2 linked regions of the Coturnix japonica genome follow. The protein of the gene in region 2 binds, or shares a complex with, the protein of the main gene of each other region. Links are inferred from orthologs where the notes say so. Each region holds a gene or a part of one and is shown on either strand. Other genes may lie near its edges. The genes, in order: POLR2D and GTF2E2.

Region 1 (4,078 bases), on a different chromosome or scaffold from region 2:
TGGATTTTGATGTAGCACATGTTAAAAATGTTGCTGACAACAAGAAGAGATTAAGGTCTCAGTGTTCTGATCTTATTACCTTCAGTCAAAACCTGCTTTCTAAATAAAAGTCAGTCTGTGGCACGCCCACTAGGTAGATAATTACTGCGACAAAGCTCCAGAGCTGCTGGAAGGAAAGACATTACAAAATTCAGCAATGCTGATAATGGAATGTATTTATTACATGTTCCTATGTTTTACTATACAGATGTTTAGCTAAAGGGGTTTTGTTTTTGTTGTTTGTGTGTGTGTGTGTGTGTGTGTGTAATAGCTGTTTTTTTGCACTCAAGTTGCTAGTGGGTCTGTTTTCAGAGGGAAGGAAGGAATTGCTGTAGAGTATCTATTTAATAAACCACTGATGTCCCAACCAACACTTTCTGCCCTGGACTATGCAACAGAAGCTCATGTCTAAAACCTGAGACTGAAACCAAGCACAGCAGTGACAGGGAGCTGTTAGCCACCACCACCGCCTCCTTGGCTGTACCTTTATGCTCTTGTAGGTATGTGGCTTTCCCCGAATCCTTTCAGTTTTCATGTACTTAAGTAGGAGAGATCACTGGGGAACAACAGATGTTAAATTTGTAACCAAGACTGCAAGCTACCTACTGCTTGAAGATCAGGATGTTCTGAGGTGAAAGGGTATGTGAGAAGCTGTTGGGATTCCAAATGATTTTAAAAGGCTTCTCTCATCAATCTGGCATGTGGATGTGGCCCTGGACAGCCTCATCTAGTATTAGATATGGAGGTTGGTGGCCCTGCCTGTGGTGGTGGGGGGGGGAGGGGTTGGAGCTTTATGATCCTTGAGGTCCATTCCAACCCAAGCCAGCCTATGATTCTATGATTTCCTTGTTTTCTTGTAAACGTAATTGAAATAGCCTCATTCACTAGATGTTCTATTTCCACACTATCTTCCTGAGTGTCTTTCTGTTTGTACCACTCAGCTAATTCGTTTTTAGTTCGCTTCTCTGCCACGCTCGTCTGGAGTTAACAAACATTAAGGAGCTCAGATCTGATCCTGCAGCTCCTGGTGGAGCTCACCCACCTGCAGGGTGCAGGAAGCACAGCAGCCGGCACAGATGTGCGTTAGGAGAGCAGGAGTGGCCTCACAGTGAATCCTCCAGCCATTTATTTCTGCATTTCTTTAAGGGCATGGGGTGACATTGTGCAGCCTAAGATGATTACTGTAAGTCTTAAGCTGGTTGGGCACTTTCATGTGTGTTCCCAAGGGAAAGTACTACTACAAACACTACTTTGCTAGCAGTGCCAGGACGAACCCACTCATTTCCAGCCTGCCTGAAGCTTTAAGCTGTCTATGGATTATTCCTGAGTAGGCCAAAGAAGGGAACCTTACTTCTATTGTGTTCTGCTATTGCCATCCATGCTCCTCCCACACACACCTCCATGTATTTACCACACTGCACCAGAAGTAATGCTGCTGTGGGTTGTTTCCTGGAGCCATCACTCGCTGCGTTCCCTCAGAGGCATCAAGATGGAGGCGCTGGGTGCTCACAGCGCCGTGCAGCGCAGCTGGAGCCACCTGAGGCGCCGCTCCCTCTGCTGGGCGCCGGGCACTCACAGCGCTGCGCTTCCGGGCGCCATGTCTTCCAGTTCCGGGTGAGCAATGGCGGCGGGCGGCAGCGACCCGCGCACTGCGGATGTGGAGGAGGACGCCTCGCAGCTCGTCTTCCCCAAAGGTGCGCGGCGACACCTCGTGCTGTTGTTTGGATCCGTGTTTTAAACACTGACGTTTGCTTGTTCCAACGTAGAATTCGAAACGGCAGAAACCCTGCTGAACTCAGAGGTCCATATGCTTCTGGAGCATCGCAAGCAGCAGAACGAGAGCGCGGAGGATGAGCAGGAGCTGTCCGAAGTCTTCATGAAAACCCTGAATTACACAGCGCGGTTCAGCCGCTTCAAGAACAGGGAGACCATCGCCAGCGTCCGCAGGTGGGTGCGAGGCTTTGGGCTGTGATACGTAACATCAGCCTTGTTCGATGGAGCTGAGATTTACTGACGTTTCCTGGGCTTCCCACAGCTGTGTCTGTCTTTTTACCTATCCACTGTTGTAATGTTTCTTCCTTCATAAACTTGGATGCAGTGTCAAAAAGCAGAGTTGTGTGCTGTCTGCTTGCCTTGATGCTGCTTTGCTTATCTGTCTTGTTGTTGGCTTTCCTCACAGCTTGCTGCTCCAGAAGAAGCTCCATAAGTTTGAACTGGCGTGTTTAGCCAATTTATGCCCTGAGACTGCTGAGGAAGCCAAAGCTTTGATTCCCAGGTGAGCATTTATATACCTAAAAGGAGTGTGGTGTACTGCCCTGTGATGTAAAGCTGCCCATGGACAGATGCCTCCTCCATAATCCAGCTCTGCTGATGGGAAAACCTTCCATCTCAGTTTTTCTTCACTTACCCATTGATCTGACAGTGAAGCAATCTAAATATCCCTAACGCACTTTAGATAACATTTACTGGATTAAGAGTGATGGAATCGTGGAGTTGGAAGGAACCATTAAAGGCCATTTGCTCCAACTCCCCTGCAGTGAACAGGGACACCCACAGCTGGGTCAGGTTGCTCAGAGCCTGGCCTTGGATGTCTCCAGAAGTGGGGATTCCAGCACATCTCTGGGCAGTGGCTTAGACTGGGGCTGTCAGCCCAGCCAGCTGCGTTTGTTGGTTGTTGTTGGAGCAAACAGCAGTGTCCCTCTGAACCGCTGGGTGGACAATGTGCAGATGGGGCAGGGAGATCTTCCAGTGTCGTCTCATCATTTGTTACCTCGTACCCTGAGATAGAGGAGGAATGAGACACTCATCTGAAGTACAGCTTTCCCCTTGTATGCTAAGATTTCATAGAATCTTCTAAGTTGTACAAACGTTTGTTGAATACCTCCACAAAAGGCAACCAGCACTTCCCTGCTCAGCCTGTTCCAACACCTCACCACCCCTTCTGTGAAGAAATTCTTTCTAATTGAAACCTCCATTGGTACAACTTGAGGTATTTTGCTCACATTCTTCATAGCAAATCTGGACTGGCTTATGAGCATGAGGCCTGCACCCGGGTTGACCTTTTGGTACAATGACTTGAAATCATTCCACACTGAGCTGTGGGAAGGTTGGAGTTCTGTCACATAAACAGGAGGCTCTGCATGGGTGTGAAATGAATTCAGAGGGGAACAGGGGAGGCTGTTCCTACGAGCTTTAATGTACCCACCTTGTTCTTACCTTGCAGCCTCGAGGGCCGGTTTGAAGATGAGGAATTACAGCAGATTCTTGACGATATTCAGACCAAACGCAGCTTCCAGTACTGAAGCTGAGCACCAAAAGCTGCCCTGATACGCTCAGTTGTTTTGTATTATTCCCCTTAGCGTAAATTAAAAAAGATGTTTCTAAGATATTAAAAGATATTTCTAATTAAGCTTCTGTGTTCTGTCATATTTATGAAGATCTCTGCAATACACTGATTGTACTGGGACAAGGTGGACGCTCTGAGGGCTGCGCGGCTTCCGATTGCGCATGCGCAGGCTGTGGAGCGGCCTCCCTGCCGCTCAGCGTCTTATCGTGGTGCGCATGCGCCGCCCCTGGCGCTGGTGGGGGCAGGAAGATGGCGGCCGGCCGCGGCGGGGGATCGTGAGGCGGCGTCGGCGGCTTCCGGGGCCGAAGAGCCGAGCCGAGCCGAGCGGCGGGGCCGCGAGGGCGCGGTGGGAGACGCCGGCTGGACGGTGAGCTCGGCTGGGTGCGGTGTGAGGCGGGAGTGGGGCTCGGAGAGCGCGGTTCGCTCCGCCATTTTTAGGCCTTGGCCCTGGAGGGAGGCCGAGCTCAGGCCGAGCTCAGGTTGGAGCGGGGCGGGATCGCGGCGCTTCGGGCCCGGCCTTGTCCGCGGGGTGAGGGATGTGGGCTGTGAGCGCCGTGTTGTGGTGGGGCAGCGCTGCGCCGTGCGCGGCTGCTGGGGCCTGAGTAGAGCGTCTGTCCCGCTCCCAGTTCGTGCTGTTCCTCCTTGGGCCTGCGGGGTGCCGGCCTGGCACTGCTCGGAGGTGGGTGCGGGGCT
Region 2 (3,814 bases):
ATGGAACAAAGAAGCTGCTTGATTCTGTTTAAAATAAAGAGTTCCTCTGAGTTATTCTAAGACAAAAGAGCTTTACGTTTTGTTCTATGGCCTTGCACATACAGCTGTTTAAGGTCTGATGACAACTTTTTCCTTCTTTTACTATCATGTGACGCTTTGGAATATGGCTTCATGTGGCATGTTACGGAACAACAAGTGATCAACATGAAGTATTCAGCGTCCCTGAGCCATTTAAAATAAGGTCTGTTACCAGGGAATGCATTCTCCCTTCTGTACTTACAGATATCTGATATTGGCTCTGATGTCATCATTGCAACACACCCTGACAGGCGTAACTAATTTCTGTAAATACATATATTATTGTATAACCTGTCCTCTTGCTGCTTTCAGCCAACAGGCACACTCACGTCAGAGGACTTTACCACTATTTGTAAGATAAAAAATACAGGCTGAAGCTCTGGAGTTCCACTCCCAGCTCTAGACAGCAGCACCAGCCCACACTCAGGGTGCCCTCCCAGTCGTAAACCAACTCTTCCCAGTACTTTTGCTCACATCTCCTCCCAGTCTGCTTGTTCCTTTTCTTCAATTCCTGGTTCCTCATTGCATTCACCAACAAAAGTACATGACTAATAAATTGGGACAAAAAGCAGCACACAAACCCAAAAGAAATTCCACTGTTCTTCATCTGCTTTTCTGCAGCAAAATATTCGATGTCATCTAAGCCACAGATGGACAACTCTTAGTCTTTTCTGTTCAGCTACACTTGAATTGTAGGGTTCCTGGTGCCATGTACCAATGCATTCAGTAGAAAACAGAGGTTATTATCCCTGAACTCGTTTGCTAGTCCTGTTATCTTCACATTCAGCTGTCTAAGCTGAATTTAAACCATGGATGCAGATGTAAATAAACACTTACCATCGTCCACAGAGAAATGACAGCTCTTGTCATTGTAGTAAAGAAGTTGCCTCTTATCAGGGCGGGTAACAAAGAGAATTTGGTCCCCTAAAGCCTTTAAAACAAATGCAAAAAAAAAGGACCCCAAATCAGTTCTATTTTAAGAATAACAGACCCAGATCCTGTTCTACAAAGAGATCAATGAATCAGAGAGCAGCAAAATAACAAGCAACAAAATGCAACCAAAGTGGACACCATCAATAAATGCATTAATAAAGCAAAGACAAGATATAGAGGGCTGAGATCAAGATATGAAAGCACAATTAAGTGCCTTCAGTTGCAACATAGTAGATAAAGCACCTTTTGTAAGAAAGCTTTGACAGCTGTGCTGTCAGGTCAATTCTAAACATAAAGGCCGACGTACAGAAAAAGGTACTAAATCAGATCTTCTGAGTCACCACAAGAACAAAAAGAACTCAGAAAATTCTCTCTTAGCTTTTACCTCTCCTTTGAGAACCTATCCAAGAGTTTTGCTGAAGCCCAGACAAGAGTGACTCACCTTTATAGCTTTATGTGCATTGGGCAGCCCTTCCTCTATTTCTTCTAAAAAGATTCCTCCCAGCCCTTGCTGGTCATGCTTGTCCAGGAGCCTGAGCAGAGCCTTTTTATCTTTCAGGTTGTACTTGGGTTTGAAAGCAAACTTCCCATCTATAACTTCTATTTTTGGATTATTGACTAGAGCCTGTAATAGAAATATACATTTTAAACCTTGAAAGAGAGAACAAACTAGTACTTCAATAGCTACAGTATGTCAGCCATGTGTTATAGCTGACAGTTCGGAGGTTTGAATTTGAAACAAATTTTAAATCCTTGGATCTGAGATCCAGCCTGGGCATAACTCACTGCAACATACAGCACAACATTCTCATGGTGCTGCTTCAGAGTGAAGATGTCTCATGGACAATTGAAACGACTTAAGATCTGATCCAAATCAGTTTTTCTGTGCACGCGGTACCATCACGGATTACTGACGCAGTGATAATCTTATATAAGCTTTTTGGTTCAGTCTCAATATTCTAATTTGTTATGGAAACAACCTAGAGCTACTCTTCAAAGCTTTCAGTGGAGCCAAGTTTTCATGATAGCAGCATTGCCAGTTTTCTGTTCTCCAGAATATTAGTATTAATTAAAAACATAACTTAAAACATCCTAGTTTTACTACAGAGATTTCTCCACCCCCCTGCATGTATCAACAACCTTTACTACTTTGTTGCAAGGATTCTAAGTATAATATCAGCAAAACCAGATATTGCTGAAGTATAAATACTAAATACAGGGTTTTGTTGATTTACTAGTCTTGAAATGCCATGATGGCATTTGGATCAATTAAGCACGAAGATGAACACAGCAGGAAGTTGCAGTGACTCTGCAAGAATGAAACCTAACATAAATCATGAAACTGATGAACTCCAGCAGGGGAACTTTGAGATCTATTACCCCACAATTCCAGACACAGATTTCACAACAGAATTCTTCAATTCAGTAAACAACAAAGATCTGAGAGTATGAGTTTTAAGGCTTTCACTTAAGTAATTTGAAATCTTTGATAGTGATAGGGCTTTCTGCTTGAACTCTGTTTAGAAGAAATTTCTTTTAAAAAAAACAACAGTTTGCATGTATAAGATTAGCAATAAGAAGTTCACCTCAATTACAACTTACTCTTTGCTCTACTAACAGCAATTCTAATTGACCCTTTAAAAACGTCAGAATAGCTTTCATTTCAGTTATTTCAATAGCAGGAGGCACAAGACAAATCATGAATCAATGCAACTTCTCAAAAGCAGAACTTCAATATTTATAGAGTCTGTAATTAAATAAACATATACAGTTCAAGTTTATCACTATCCTCCAGTGTCCAATCAAAAGCTTTTCTTTACCTCATTCATTAACCACTGCTTCTGTTTGAGTCCAATATCTAAATGCTGTGTTTCATCCAAAATCTCTTCTAGAGTTAATGGATGCGTATCACCACGCTGGTGCCGAGTCTGGAAAACAAAGAGGATCTATCAGTGATCTGTAGTTCTTTATTCAGCAGCTCAATTACCACAGGGTAACAAAAAACTGGCAGAAGGTGATGACACAGTAATTTCTGTGAAACCAAGAGACACAGCACACGGAGCATATGAGTACCAACTTCGGGCCTCTAAAGATGTGAGAAAAATCAGTTTGTATCAGCTGAGATAAATGACAAAATTATCTGTCAAGCACCAAGTTACAAGTTATTTTGATAAACAGCTCATGAATCCTAAAAGCTGATAGCATCTTCAAATTCCAAGTTCTAATGCAAACAAAACCAGTCTCCTTTTTTTAAGCAGACCTGGAATAACTGGGATTCCAGTGATGAAGCAACATAATGGGCCTTTTGTTTACTCACAGCATTTTACATTTTAACAGCCCAGTTTCTTGAAATTCTTGGTCTTGTGCAGTAAATAAATCTCAAAGTCTGAAACATTCAGCATCATCTTACTATCACAGAGAAAAAATAAAGCATTTCCAAGCATTATACTTTTACATGAAACCACCATACCTTCATGTAATTCACTATTTTTGCAAGGACTCCAAACTTGTAGCCAGAGCTTCCTGAAAGGGCTTTCAAATTAAACGAGCCATTGCTGTGATCTACAAAAGGAGAAAATAAACACATAAACAACGCTTTCAACAACTACTTCTACAGCCAACAACAGAAACATTTCAGGAGCAGTCATTCTAGAGGGGTCTGCGATATAAGGATGGGGATACAGACATGCAGCTACCTGCTGGCTCCAGAATGCTTCTGAGCACGACTCTGTATCCATACAGATACTAGGACATGAGCTCTAAGAAAAAAGCGAGCAGCTGCAGCACTAACCTGCAGTATTAA

Evidence for each region.
Region 1: GTF2E2 (region 2) and POLR2D share a complex: the UniProt entries of both Homo sapiens proteins name them as parts of the TBP-based Pol II pre-initiation complex. The link is inferred for Coturnix japonica from reciprocal best matches to the Homo sapiens genes GTF2E2 and POLR2D.

Annotation. Positions count from the first base shown.
Region 1 is NC_029524.1:1,664,233-1,668,310, forward strand, and holds POLR2D (DNA-directed RNA polymerase II subunit RPB4), read left to right. Parts: upstream 1-1,605; 5' UTR 1,606-1,660; coding exon 1,661-1,733; intron 1,734-1,805; coding exon 1,806-1,986; intron 1,987-2,218; coding exon 2,219-2,314; intron 2,315-3,262; coding exon 3,263-3,341; 3' UTR 3,342-3,448; downstream 3,449-4,078. UniProt on the Homo sapiens protein: Core component of RNA polymerase II (Pol II), a DNA-dependent RNA polymerase which synthesizes mRNA precursors and many functional non-coding RNAs using the four ribonucleoside triphosphates as substrates.
Region 2 is NC_029519.1:30,644,555-30,648,368, reverse strand, and holds part of GTF2E2 (transcription initiation factor IIE subunit beta), read right to left. Parts: intron 3,574-3,814; coding exon 3,482-3,573; intron 2,940-3,481; coding exon 2,832-2,939; intron 1,637-2,831; coding exon 1,454-1,636; intron 1,010-1,453; coding exon 916-1,009; intron 1-915. UniProt on the Homo sapiens protein: Recruits TFIIH to the initiation complex and stimulates the RNA polymerase II C-terminal domain kinase and DNA-dependent ATPase activities of TFIIH. Both TFIIH and TFIIE are required for promoter clearance by RNA polymerase.